Linked DNA regions of Anolis sagrei. The protein of the gene in region 1 binds, or shares a complex with, the protein of each later gene. Links are inferred from orthologs where the notes say so. Each region holds a gene or a part of one and is shown in the gene's direction. Other genes may lie near its edges.

Region 1 (7,144 bases):
GAGAAGGCCCTGCTCCTCGTCCCCAACAGCCTCACTTGTGACAGTGGCGGGGTCGAGAGCAGGACCTCCCCAGATGATCTTAAACTCCGAGGTGGGACGTAGAGGGAGATCCGTTCGGACAAATACACTGGGCCGGAACTGTATAGGGTTTTGTAGGTCAAAACCAGCACTTTGAATTGTGCTCGGAATTGGATCGGCAGCCAGTGGAGCTGACGCAACAGGGGGGTGGTATGCTCCCTGTACGCCGCTCCGGTGAGCAATCTGGCTGCTTCTCGCTGGACTAGTTGAAGTTTCCGAGCAGTCTTCAAAGGCAACCCCACGTAGAGTGCGTTGCAGTAATCCAGTCGGGATGTAACAAGAGCGTGGACCACCGTGGCCAAGTCCGACTTCCCAAGGTACGGGCGCAGCTGACGCACAAGTTTTAGTTGTGCAAAAGCTCTCCCGGCCACCGCTGAGACTTGGGGTTCCAGGCTCAGCGATGAGTCCAGGATCACTCCCAAGCTGCGAACCTGCGTCTTCAGGGGGAGTGGAACCCCGTCTAACACAGGCTGTAACCCTATGCCCTGTTCGGCCTTACGACTGACCAGTAGGACCTCTGTCTTGTCTGGATTCAATTTCAATGTGTTAGCTCTCATCCAGTCCGACACAGCAGCTAAACACCGGTTCAAGGTCTGGACAGCCTCCTTGGTGACAGGTAAGAAGGAGTGACAGATTTGGACGTCATCTGCATAGAGGTAACATCTTAGTCCGAAACTCCGAATGATCTCTCCCAGCAGCTTCATGAAGATGTTAAATAACATTGGGGACAGGATTGAACCCTGTGGGACTCTACACAGCAACGGTTGCGGAGCCGAACAGGTGTCACCCAATAACACCTTCTGGGTCAGTCCCTCAAGGAAGGATCGGAGCCACCGCAGAGCAGTGCCTCCGAGCCCCATGTCCATGAGGCACCCTCCAGAAGGATACCATGATCGACGGTATCGAAGGCCGCTGAGAGGTCCAGCAGAACTAACAGGGACACACTCCCCCTGTCCAGCTCCCCGTGAAGATCATCTACCAAGGCGACCAAGGCTGTTTCCATTCCATGTCCCGGTCTAAAGCCAGACTGTGCCGGATCAAGATAATCAGTGTCTACCAGGAACCCCTGGAGTTGTGTTGCCACCACACGTTCCAGGACTTTGCCCAAATAGGGGAGATTGGAAACTGGCCGATAGTTGTCGAATTGAGTGGGATCCAGTGATGGTTTCTTCAACAGCGGTTTTATAATAGCTTGTTTTAAGCTCGCTGGAAATTTTCCTTCCTGTAAGGAGGTATTAACCATCACCTTCACCCACTCTGCCAAACCCCCTCAAAATCATAATAGCCACAAAATAATAATTTAGACTTTGTTGTTATGGTTGTGTATACCTTGGGATACTTCTGGCAAAAATTGGTATGATAAGAAACAAAGATGGCAGGGACCTAACAGAAGCTGAAGAGATCAAGAGAAGGTGGCAAGACTATAGAGAAGATCTGTATAGGAAGGATAATAATATTGAGGTTAGTTTTGACGGTGTGGTGAATGAATTAGAACCAGACATCCTGAGGAGTGAGGTTGAATGGGCCTTAAAAAGCATTGCTAACAACAAGGCAGCAGGAGACGACGGGATCCCAGCTGAACTGTTTAAAATCTTAAAAGATGATGCTGTCAAGGTGATGCATGCCATTTGCCAGCAAATATGGAAAACACAAGAATGGCCATCAGACTGGAAAAAATCAACTTATATCCCCATACCAAAAAAGGGAAATGCGAAAGACTGCTCCAACTTCCGTACAGTGGCCCTTATTTCTCATGCCAGTAAGGTAATGCTCAAGATCCTGCAAGGAAGACTCCAGCAATACATGGAGCGAGAGTTGCCAGATGTTCAAGCTGGGTTTAGAAAAGGCAGAGGAACGAGAGACCAGATTGCCAATATCCGATGGATAATGGAGAAAGGCAGGGAGTTTCAGAAAAACATCTACTTCTGCTTCATTGACTATTCTAAAGCCTTTGACTGTGTGGATCATAATAAATTGTGGCAAGTTCTTGGTGGGATGGGCATCCCAAGCCCCCTTCCCCCTCTCCTGAGGAATCTGTACAAGGACCAAGTAGCCACAGTCAGAACTGGCCACGGAACAGGAGACGGGCTCAAGATTGGGAAAGGCGTCCGGCAAGGCTGCATCCTCTCACCCAACCTTTTAAACTTGTATGCAGAACACATCATGCGAGGATGTGCGGGGCTGGATGAATGCAAAGCTGGGGTGAAAATTGCTGGAAGAAACATTAACAACCTCAGATATGCAGATGACACCACTCTGATGGTCGAAAGCGAGGAGGAGCTGAGGAGCCTTCTAATCAAGGCGAAAGAAGAAAGCGCAAAAGCCGGGTTGCAGCTGAACGTCAAAAAAACCAAGATTATGGCAACAAGAATGATTGACAACTGGGAAATAGAGGGAGAAAATGTGGAGGCCGTGACAGACTTTGTATTTCTAGGTGCAAAGATTACTGCAGATGCAGACTGAGGCCAGGAAATCAGAAGACGCTTCCTTCTTGGGAGGAGAGCAATGTCCAGTCTCGATAAAATAGTAAAGAGTAGAGACATCAGACTGGCAACAAAGATCCGCCTAGTCAAAGCCATGGTCTTCCCTGTAGTAACCTACGATGGGAGAGCTGGACCTTAGGGAAGGCTGAGCGAAGGAAGAGAGATGCTTTTGAGCTGTGGTGTTGGAGGAAAGTTCTGAGAGTGCCTTGGACTGCGAGAAGATCCAACCAGTCCATCCTCCAGGAAATAAAGCCCGACTGCTCATTGGAGGGAAGGAGATGAGAGGCAAAGCTGAAGTCCTTTGGCCACATCATGAGGAGACAGCAAAGCCTGGAGAAGACAATTATGCTGGGGAAAGTGGAAGGCAAAAGGAAGAGGGGCCGACCAAGGGCAAGATGGATGGGTGGCATCCTTGAAGTGACTGGACTGACCTTGAGGGAGCTGGGGGTGGTAACGGCCGACAGGGAGCTCTGGCGTAGGCTGGTCCATGAGGTCACGAAGAGTCGGAGACGACTGAACGAATGAACAACATACCTTGGGAAGGGGTCCACAAAAAAGGAGAAATCGTTCTCCTTCCACGAGCAGACCTTAACTCTCAAAAAAGTAACCTTTCTGCAAGAGGACTAACTTTGCGCATGCGTACAAGGCGCATTAGAGAACAGACACACAGAAAGGGCTCGCTTTGCGCATGCGTAGAAGGCGCGTTAGAAATAAATAATATATTTAAATAAATAATATAATATAAAATAATTATTATTCTTGATTATATGATAATAAATAATATATTTAAATAAATAAATAATATAAAATAATAATTATTATATAAATAATTAAATAATTATTAATTAAATAAATAAATAATTTTAATTAAATAAATAAATAAATAAATATTTATTATTTATTATTAATTAAATAAATAAATAATTTTAAAAACCACACAGAAAGGGCTAACTTTGCGCATGCGTAGAAGTCCAGTTCGCGAACACAAGAAAGGGCTAACTTTGCGCATGCGTACAAGGCCTCATGAGCGAACACAGAAAGGGCTAACTTTGCGCATGCGTAGAAGTCCAGTTCGCGAACAAGAAAGGGCTAACTTTGCGCATGCGCATGCGTAGAAGACGCGTTAGCGAACAGAGCTAACTTTGTGCGTGCGTAGAAGTCGAGTTCGCGAACACAAGAAAGGGCTAACTTTGCGCATGCGTACAAGGTGCGTTTGCGAACCCACACACAGAAAGGGCCAACTTTGCGCATGCGTAGAAGACGCGTTAGCGAACAGAGCTAACTTTGCGCGTGCGTAGAAGTCGAGTCCGTGAACACAAGAAAGGGCTAACTTTGCGCATGCGTACAAGGTGTATTAACGAATAGAAAGGGCTCGCTGTGCGCATGCGTTGAAGGCGCGTTAGCTACCACACAGAAAGGGTTAACTGTGCGCATGCGTACAAGGTGCGTTCGCGAATCCACACACAGAAAGGGCCAACTTTGCGCATGCGTAGAAGACGCGTTAGCGAACAGAGCTGACTGTGCGTAGAAGTCGAGTTCGCGAACACAAGAAAGGGCTAACTCTGCGCATGCGTACAAGGCCTCAGGAGCGAAGACAGAAAGGGCTAACTGTTCGCATGCATACACACAGAGAAAAGGCTAACTTTGCGCATGCGTAGACGACGCGTTTGCGAACACCCAGAAAGGGCTGCTTTTGCGCATGCGTACAAGGCGCGTTAGTCAGCTAGGCTGAGTCGAGCGTCGGCGTCGTCGCCACGGCAACGTCGGCGGCGTCCCTCCTGGCGACGCGGTCTCCCCTGGCAACGAGGCCTAGTCTGAGGCGGGATGAAGGCGGCGTCGGCGTCGGCGGGCGAGGATGGCGGCGGCGAGGAGGGGGCCGCGGGTGCCGAGGCGAGGCCGGAGTCGGAGGGCCAGGGCAGCAGCAAGGGCGGCGAGGCGGCGGCGGAGGGCGGGGCGAGCGCCACCCCGCAGCGCATCTTCGTCCCCAACATCAACTCCGACGACCCCGAGGAGCGCATCGCCGCCCGACGGCTCCGCATCGCCGCCCGCCTCGAGGCCAAGCGCAGGTCCGCCTCACCTGCCTCAGAGAAACTGATCCTAGGAGTCCACACTGCCCCATATAATCCCGTTCAGAGCAGACAGCCTGGGTTTCCTAGGGCAGTGTATCCCAGCATCCCGTCCCAGATTATTTATTTGTTTACGACTTTTATATCCCCCACTTCTCACCCCCATGGGGACTCAGAGCGGCTTACAAGTTATCCCTACATACAATATATTATATATTATTAGCATAGCACTTTATTTATTTATTTATTTATTTAAATATATTATTTATTGTATTGTCGAAGGCTTTCATGGCTGGAATCACTCGGTTCTTGTGGGTTTTTTCAGGCTATATGGCCATGTTCTAGAGGCATTTCTCCTGACGTTTCGCCTGCATCTATGGCAAGCATCCTCAGAAGTAGTTCTGAGGATGCTTGCCATAGATGCCGGCGAAACGTCAGGAGACATGCCTCTAGAGAACATGGCTCTATAGCCCGAAAAAACCCACAAGAACCTATATTATTTATTATTATATAATAAATAATAATTATTTTATTTATTTATTTAAATATGTTATTTATTATCATATAATCAAGAATAATAATTATGTTACATTATTTATTTATTTAAATATGTTATTTATTATCATATAATCAAGAATAATAATATGTTACATTATTTATTTATTTAAACATGTTATTTATTATAATATAATCAAGAATAATAATTTATTTATTTATTATTTATTTGCTTCAGGCAACTCAGAGCGGTTAACAATCAGTATCAACAACACAATACAAAATCATTAGTCATTTAAAACAGTAATATCAATTAATTAACATCAAAACATCAATACAACAATACAGCAAAATAACAATCCATCACGTCTCATCAATAGAATCAGCAACCAATCTCATTGTCCATTAATCCATATTCCAATAATCAATCAAGTGCACTGCTTAGTTGAAAACCTGTTCAAAGAGCCAGGTCTTCACTCTCCTCCGGAATGCCAATAAGGAGGGGGCCGATCTGATGTCTGTAGGAAGGGTGTTCCACAGCCAAGGGGCCACTACTGAGAAGGCCCTCCGGAATGTCTCTCGTCCCCGCCAAGCGTGCTTGCGGAGCAGACAGGATCGAGAGCAGGGCCTCCTCAGATGATCTTAACTTCCTGGGTTCGTAGGAAGAGATGCGTTCGGATAGGTAGGCTGGCCAGAACCGTTTAGAGCTTTAAAGGCTAAAGCCAGCACTTTCAATTGGGCCCGGGAGCAAACTGGCAGCCAGTGGAGCTGATGCAGCAGAGGAGTGGTATGCTTCCTGAGCGCCACTCCTGTTAACAACCTGGCTGCCGCACGCTGGACCATTTGAAGCTTCCGGGCCGTCTTCAAAGGCAACCCCATGTAGAGTGCGTTGCAGTAATCTATACGTGATGTAACCAGAGCGTCGACTACCGTGGCCAAGTCAGACTTCCCAAGGTACGGGTGCAGCTGGCACACAAGTTTTAGTTGTGCAAATGCTCCCCTGGTCACTGCCGAAACCTGGGGTTCCAGGCTCAGCGATGAGTCCAGGGTCACACCCAAGCTGCGAACCTGCGTCTTCAGGGGGAGTGCGGCCCCATCCAACACAGGCTGTAACCCTATGCCCTGTTCGGCCTTTATGCCAGCCACATGACCTTGGAGGTGTCTATGGAGAATGCTGGCTGTTCAGTTTAGAAATGGAGATGAGCACCACACCCCAGAGTCAGGCATGACTGGACTTAATGTCAGGGGACAACCTTTACCCTTTTATTATTTATTTATTTATTTAAATATATTACATAGGTTTTTAAATCTTTGTGTGTTATTGTTTATATGTGAGTTATATTAATTGTATTGTTTTATTTGGTTATTGCTTTTTCTTTTTACTGATGTATTGTTGGGCTTGGCCTCATGTAAGCCACTCTGAGTCCCCTTGGAGAGATGGTGGCGGGGTATAAATAAAGTTTTACTATTTTATTATTATTATTACTTTATTACTTACTTATTTATTATTTATTTATTTACTATATTTGTTTACTGCTCTTCTCAGCCCTCAGGGCGACTCGGAGCAGTTAACAAAGCAAATACAATACTTAAACATGATAAAACAGTTAAAAACAAGTTAAAAGAATAACATTATAACAATCAATAAACATAACATCTCATCTCATCTCATCTCATAGTTAAAATCAAGATCCAGTCTCATCATCCAAACGTTCCATATTTCTATATTAGTTACACTGCCTACTTAGCTGATCCCTTGTTGTTCCAGTAAGATTGTCCTCCAAGTACGGTGTCTTGGCGGTGGGTCCGTAGGTGGCTGTGGACCCCTATTCTTGATCCGCATCTTCTCCCGCAGTGAGGACATCTGAAGGCGGTCCCAGTCAGGGTTGGCTTGACCCGCCTTCCTCTTGGCACGTTTCTCCCTTTCACCCTCCATTCATGCCTCTTTAAATTCTACAGCACTGCTGGTCACACTGATTTTAGTGTTTGTGTATATTTATAGCTATTTTATGTCCCGGCATG
Region 2 (7,324 bases), on another chromosome or scaffold:
AATCCACTCCGGGTTTTACTTTGGACTTCAAAGGAGTCTTCTAAGGTGCTGAATGGCTGCTAGAGGCTCAGGACCTTGGAAAGCTCCTTGAAGGTATGAGGTAAAACTGGGACTGGATTCCCCATTTCACTGACATGGGGCCCACTGTTGTGTACCATTGTTGTTATTTTGACTGTTTTGTTTTGCCCTGGTTTTATAGGTCTCAAATGAGTCCCTTTATGAAGATAAAAAATGGGATTAATATAAAATAGATTAAAAATATTGCCTTTTAATAATGTATTTTAATGCTGGTATTATAGGAATTTGGTTTGCCTCAACATTTAAAAAAATGACTCCATTCTGTACAATTAGGTTTTTTCTCACAACTAAATTTTCAGTATAGTGTAGGTTGAGGCTCTTTCATCTGAAATGTTTTTAATATGTTTATTTCTGTTCACATTTGGGACTTTGGAGGATTTTGAAATATGTATCTTTGCTGGGTTGTTGTAGGTTTTTTTAGGCTATGTGGCCATGTTCTAGAGGCATTCTCTCCTGACGTTTTGCCTGCATCTATTGCAAGCATCCTCAGAGTTTGTGAGACCTCACAACCTCTGAAAATGCTTGCCATAGATGGAGGCGAAACATCAGGAGATAATGCTTCTAGAACATAGTCATTTATTGTACTTTATTACATATATTATAAATATATATATTATATATATAATTATATATTATATAATTATAATCATTATTGAGCACTCTAACTGGAGATCAGCTGTGACCAGCAGTGCTGCAGAATTCAAAGGCACGAATGGAGGGCGAAAGGGAGAAAGGTGACAAGAGTAAGGCATGTCAAGCCAACCCAGACTGGGACCACCTTCTGCCTGGAAACCAATGTCCTCACTGCAGGAGAACATGCAAACAAGAATAGGTCTCCAAAGCCACCTATAGACCCACCACCAAGACACTACACTAGAAGGACCATCATCCTCGGGCTACAAGGGATTGCATAACTAAGTAAATATTATAATATTATATATTATATAATAATTTTCTTGGAGCTGTCGTCCAGTGAAGATCATGTCTACTGTTCCTCTGGAGGGTCGGAAGCCATTCTGAGATTCTGGTAGGGTGTCTTCCCAGGTAAAAGGTGGTTTCCAAAGATTCTTGCAAGGATTTTCCCACTGGAGGTCAGAAGGGAGATGCATCTGTTGTTTCCCCTTTTTTGAAAAGGGTGATGATGGTGACATCCTTGAAGTCTTCTTGGATTTTCTTAGTCATCCACATGTTTTCAATGAACTGGTGGATTTGTTGTATTAGCTCAGGTACACCCTCTTTAAAGATCTCAGCAGGGATCCCATCAGGTCCACTGGCTATGTTATGTTTTTGTTGGCTGGACGTTGCTGACTTCCTCCAAACCAGGCAGGGCTGCAAGCTCATCCCTGGTTAGTTGTTGTGGGATTTGTGAGAGAACAAATCAGGAGGTTGTGGTAGTGCTCTTTCTAACGTAGTGCAATTGATTTTTTGTCCTTCAGAAGTTTGGTTCCATCTGATGAGTGTAGGAGGGTGTATGCCATGATTTCTTGGTCTGTAATTACCTTTGTGGCTTTAAAAAAATCCCTGAGCATCATGGATATCTGTACAAGGAATCTGTACAAGGACCAAGTAGCAACAGTAAGAACTGACCACGGAACAACAGACTGGTTCAAGATTGGGAAAGGCGTACGGCCAGGCTGCATACTCTCACCCAATCTTTTTGCAGAACACATCATGCAATGTATGCAGAACACATCATGCAATGTGCGGGGCTTGATGAATGCAAAGCTGGGGTGAAAATTGCTGGAAGAAACATTAACAACCTCAGATATGCAGATGACACCACTCTGATGGCCGAAAGCGAGGAGGAGCTGAGGAGCCTTCTAATCAAGGTGAAAGAAGAAAGCGCATAAGCTGGGTTGCAGCTAAACGTCAAAAAAACCAAGATTATGGCAACAAGAATGATTGACAACTGGAAAATAGAGGAAGAAATCGTGGAGGCCGTGACAGACTTTGTATTTCTAGGTGCAAAGATAACTGCAGATGCAGACTGTGGCCAGGAAATCAGAAGACGCTTACTTCTTGGGAGGAGAGCAATGTCCAGTCTCGATAAAATAGTGAAGAGTAGAGACATCAGACTGGCAACAAAGATCCGCCTAGTCAAAGCCATGGTATTCCCTGTAGTAACCTACGGATGTGAGAGCTGGACTTTAGGGAAGGCTGGGCGAAGGAAGATAGATGCTTTTGAACTGAGGTGCTGGAGGAAAGTTCTGAGAGTGCCTTGGACTGCGAGAAGATCCAACCAGTCCATCCTCCAGGAAATAAAGCCCGGCTGCTCACTGGAGGGAAGGAGACTAGAGACAAAGTTGAAGTACTTTGGTCACATCATGAGGAGACAGCAAAGCCTGGAGAAGACAATTATGCTGGGGAAAGTGGAAGGCAAAAGGAAGAGGGGCCGACCAAGGGCAAGATGGATGGATGGCATCCTTGAAGTGACTGGACTGACCTTGAAGGAGCTGGGGGCAGTGATGGCCAACAGGGAGCTCTGGTGTGGGCTGGTCCTTGAGGTCACGAAGCGTCAGAGACGACTGAACGAATGAACAACAACAACATCATGGATATCTGCAAAGTGTTGGATTTCTTCATTGAACATCGAGAAAACCAAAGTGCTCTTCCAGCAGTTACCTGCCAATCCCTCTGCAATGCCAGAAATACAGCTTAATGGTGTAACATTACCTTGGCCGCCACCTCTCCACAAAAGTCAACACTGACCCTGAAATACAACACCACCTGAGCTCTGCAAGTGCAGCATTTTTCCAAATGAAGCAGAGAGTGTTTCAGGATTGGGACATCTGTAGGGAGACCAAGGTGCTCACTATGAAATGCAGTTGTTTCATACTTTATAATACTTTATTACAATTGATTACATATATTATGTGATATTATAATATATAATAATATAAAATTATTAGATATATAATATATTGTTATTATATATGATATTATTTTTTGTTTATTTCGTATCAAAAGCATTGCATAAATTAGTAAAAAAAAACTACATTACTGCATAAATTAGAAAGATACTCCACTTTGGCAGGAAAAACGAAATGCAAAGATACAGAATGGGGGATGATGCCTGGCTTGAGAGCAATACGTGTGAAAAAGATCTTGGAGTCCTCGTGGACAACAAGTTAAACATGAGCCAACAATGTGATGTGGCGGCAAAAAAAGCCAATGGGATTTTGGCCTGCATCAATAGGAGCATAGTGTCTAGATCTAGGGAAGTCATGCTACCCCTCTATTCCGCTTTGGTTAGACCACACCTGGAATATTGTGTCCAATTCTGGGCCCACAATTGAAGAGAGATATTGACAAGCTGGAATGTGTCCAGGGGAGAGCGACTAAAATGATAAAAGATCTGGAGAACAAGCCCTATGAGGAGCGGCTTAAGGAGCTGGGCATGTTTAGCCTGAAGAAGAGAAGGCTGAGAGGGGATATGATAGCCATGTATAAATACGTGAGAGGAAGCCACAGGGAGGAGGGAGCAAGCTTGTTTTCTGCTTCCCTGGAGACTAGGACGCAAAACAATGGCTTCAAACTACAAGAGAGGAGATTCCACCTGAACATGAGGAAGAACTTCCTGACTGTGAGAGCCGTTCAGCAGTGGAACTCTCTGCCCCGGAGTGTGGTGGAGGCTCCTTCTTTGGAAGCTTTTAAACAGAGGCTGGATGGCCATCTGTCAGGGGTGATTTGAATGCAATATTCCTGCTTCTTGGTAGAAAGGGGTTGGACTGGATGGCCCATGAGGTCTCTTCCAACTCTTTGATTCTATGATTCTATGACTACATTATATATTATTATGTATGCTATTATATATTATAATATATAATAATATAATATATATAATATATGAAATCAGTTAAAATATAATCATACTTATAAAGTATTATAATATATTATGAGCATGCTTATATTTTAATGGATTATATCCAAAATGTAATATTATTATATGTAATAATATACAATACCATAATAATATATATTATAATATTATATAGAATAATATTATCTTATGTAAAACAATAATATCATTATTATAATATAAGGAAATTCTGCATATAATATTTTAAATAGTTTTTTGGGCATGAATCAAAGCTTGTGTCCATTGTAGGAGCCAATTGGTATCAGATGAAGAGCCAAAGGGTGAAAAAAAACACCCTCCTTCTCCCTGTAACTAGGGGCGGGGCCTCGTTGCTAGGGGCGCGGCTTCTTGGCCAAGGGCGGAGCCGAGGCTCTCGCGAGATTTGGGCTACGGTTGCTTGGCAACCAGAAGACTCTGGGCCTAGTCTTCTAGAGAGACACTGAAGCCGTCACCATGGTGAGTCTGTCCAGTGGGAGGGAGAGAGTTGTGATGATGATGATGATGATGATGATGTAGGTTGTGTATATGGCCCACCTTAGTAGCTGAGAGAGTGGCTATGTCGTGGTTTGAGGGTTGAGAGAACAGGGGAAGCCACACTGTCAAATTAATGCGGATTGATTCCACTTCAGCGTCTTTAGCTCCATGCTATGGAGTCATTGGAGTTGTAGTTTGCAATCTTTGGGCAGAGAAGGCCTTGTGAAACTTCGACCCTTTCTACACTGCCATAGAATCCAGATTATCAAAGCAGAAAATCCACATTATTTGCTTTGAACTGGATTGTATGAATCTACACTGCCATAGAATCTAGATTATCAAAGCAGACAATCCACAATACCTGCTTTGAATTGGATTATATGCAGCTACACTCCCATAGAATCCAGATTATCAAAGCAGACAATCCACATAATCTCTTTTGAACTGGATTTTATGTATCTACACTGCCATAGAATCCAGATGATCAAAGCAGGCAATCCACATTATCTGCTTTGAACTGGATTATATAAATCTATGTTGCCATATAATCCAGTTCAAATAAGATAATCTGGATTTTATATGGCAGCGTAGAAGGGGTCTATGACTCCCAGGAACCATAGCACTGAACTGTGGCCTTTCAAGTGGGGTTAAACCGCATTAATTTTTCAGTGTAGACAAACAGTTTTGGGATTTGTCATCCAAAGAGATATAATACAACAAAGATGGACTTGATGGATTCTGGGAACTGCTGCCTAAAAAGAAAAGAAAAAAGAATATAATAATAATAATAAAGCTTTATTTATATCCTTCCCTATCTCCCCGAGGGGACTCAGAGTGGTTTACAACAGATATCGGCAAACGTTCAATGCCATGAGAAGCTGAATAAAGACAAAACTAACCAACTCCCCAAATCCCAAAAACAAATCCACATCTACATCAAAAATAATAACACATTATACTGCAATATTGCTACTAATATTATATGTAATATATACTATACACTTATCATATTATTGTATATTATTATATTGTACTATATTATCAAACCACAATGTATATCATACACTACCAGTACAATATACTATTAGTATTATATAATATCCCAATTTGTTTTTAACAGTGTTGTAACTGCAAGGAGAGGCGGGTAATAAAATAATAATATTTATTATTATCATTCTTATGACATCCCATCTTTTCTGGTGGATGGAGCTCCTGATAGCGCAATGGGTTAAACCCCTGTGCTGGCAGGACTGCTGACCAAGAGGTCAACGGTTCAAATCTGGGAAGAGCGGGTTGAGCTCCCTCTGTCAGCTCCAGCTCCCCATGCGGGGACATGAGAGATGCCTCCCACAAGGATGCCTCCCACCAAACATCCAGGCGTCCCCTGGGTAATGTCCTTGCAGGCAGCCAATTCTTACACTAAAAGCGACTTGCAGTTTCTCAACTTGCTCCTGACATGGGAAAAAAAACCCTTTTCCGGCAACCTAGTCAACTTTGGACCATGAATTTTGGGGTTTGCATTCTCTTGCCATTGTATCTTGGTCCTTATACCATATGTTTTGGCGGATTTTGATATATGTATTTTGTTGTATGCGTTTTTGTTGATGTATTTTGACTTTTTATTATTGTTATTTTATTATTTTAAATCTTGCAGGCTAAATCTAAAAATATTCGCACACTAATCCAGGTGTGGGCAAACTTTGGCCCTAAAGGTGTTTTGTACTTCAACTCCCACAATTCTAACAGCGGTAGGCTGTTAGGAATTGTGGGAGTTGAAGTCCAAAACACCTGGAGGGTCAAAGTTTGCGCATGCCTGCACTAACCCAACAGATACATCTGTACATATACTAAACAAGCAACTACAGGAACAATTCTGTGAAGCTTACACTCATTAATGTGTTTTGACTGTGTTGTACCCTGCCTCAAGCCATTGGGAGAGGTAGGTAACAGGTACAATGTATTATTATTATTATTTTGTTATTGTTACTATTTTTTAATATTGCAGACTAAATCTAAAAAAAAAAATTGCACACTACCCCAAAACATACCTACACTAATGTACACAGACTGAACACACAACTACAGGAACAATTCTATGAACTCATACTCATTGTCTGTTGATTTTTATCTCTTACTAGCTTGGGTACCTGAGTTACTTGAAAAAGACATGGTTTGTTTTTGGATGTTATAAATGGACCAATTAGAAATTAGCAGGTTAACGGAGTTATCAGTTGTCTTTGGATGGGGTTAGCAGTACTCTTTGGATGAGGGTAAAGGAACTGCAAATCCCATTGTCCATGGACCATCTCCCCCAAACCTCAGCAGGACATAAAGTCTCATGAGGAGGTCTCTTTGCCAAAATTAGTCCAGGTCCATGGCTGATGGGGTCTGCAGCAGCCTCTGGATGTAGGTGAAGGAACTGCAACTCCCATCATCCAGGTCCTTCCCCCAAAAAGCACCACAAAGACTTAAAGTGGGTCATCGGGTATCTGTGTGCCAAGTTTGGTCCAGATCCATGGCTGATGGGGTTTGCGGTAGTCTCTGGATGCGGGTGAAGGTACTGCAAATCCCATCATCCATGGTCCATCCTCCCCAAACTTCATCAGGCTGTAAAATGGGTCATGGGGGGCCCTTCCAGACAGGCCCTATATTACAGGATCCAATCTCAGGTTTTCTGCTTATCTGGCAGTGAGGACTCATATAATCCAGGTTATATAACTGCCATAGATGTGGATGAAATGTCAGGAGAGAATGCTTCTGGGTTATAGGGCCTGTCTTGAAGGGCCCAGGGAGTCTGTATCCCAAGTTTGGTCCGGGTCCGTCATTGGAGGTCTGTGGAAGCCAAAGCAGTTGAAGGTACTCCAAATCCCATCGTCCATGGTGCATCCTCCTCCAAACATTACCAGGATGTAA

What was found. The genes of interacting proteins can lie anywhere in the genome.
Region 2: DRC1 (region 1) and GAS8 share a complex: the UniProt entries of both Homo sapiens proteins name them as parts of the nexin-dynein regulatory complex. The link is inferred for Anolis sagrei from reciprocal best matches to the Homo sapiens genes DRC1 and DRC4.

What each region holds. Positions count from the first base shown.
Region 1 is NC_090021.1:3,609,036-3,616,179, forward strand, and holds the start of DRC1 (dynein regulatory complex protein 1), read left to right. Parts: upstream 1-4,084; 5' UTR 4,085-4,385; coding exon 4,386-4,627; intron 4,628-7,144. UniProt on the Homo sapiens protein: Component of the nexin-dynein regulatory complex (N-DRC) a key regulator of ciliary/flagellar motility which maintains the alignment and integrity of the distal axoneme and regulates microtubule sliding in motile axonemes.
Region 2 is NC_090028.1:28,333,943-28,341,266, forward strand, and holds the start of GAS8 (dynein regulatory complex subunit 4), read left to right. Parts: upstream 1-4,306; 5' UTR 4,307-4,390; coding exon 4,391-4,393; intron 4,394-7,324. UniProt on the Homo sapiens protein: Component of the nexin-dynein regulatory complex (N-DRC), a key regulator of ciliary/flagellar motility which maintains the alignment and integrity of the distal axoneme and regulates microtubule sliding in motile axonemes.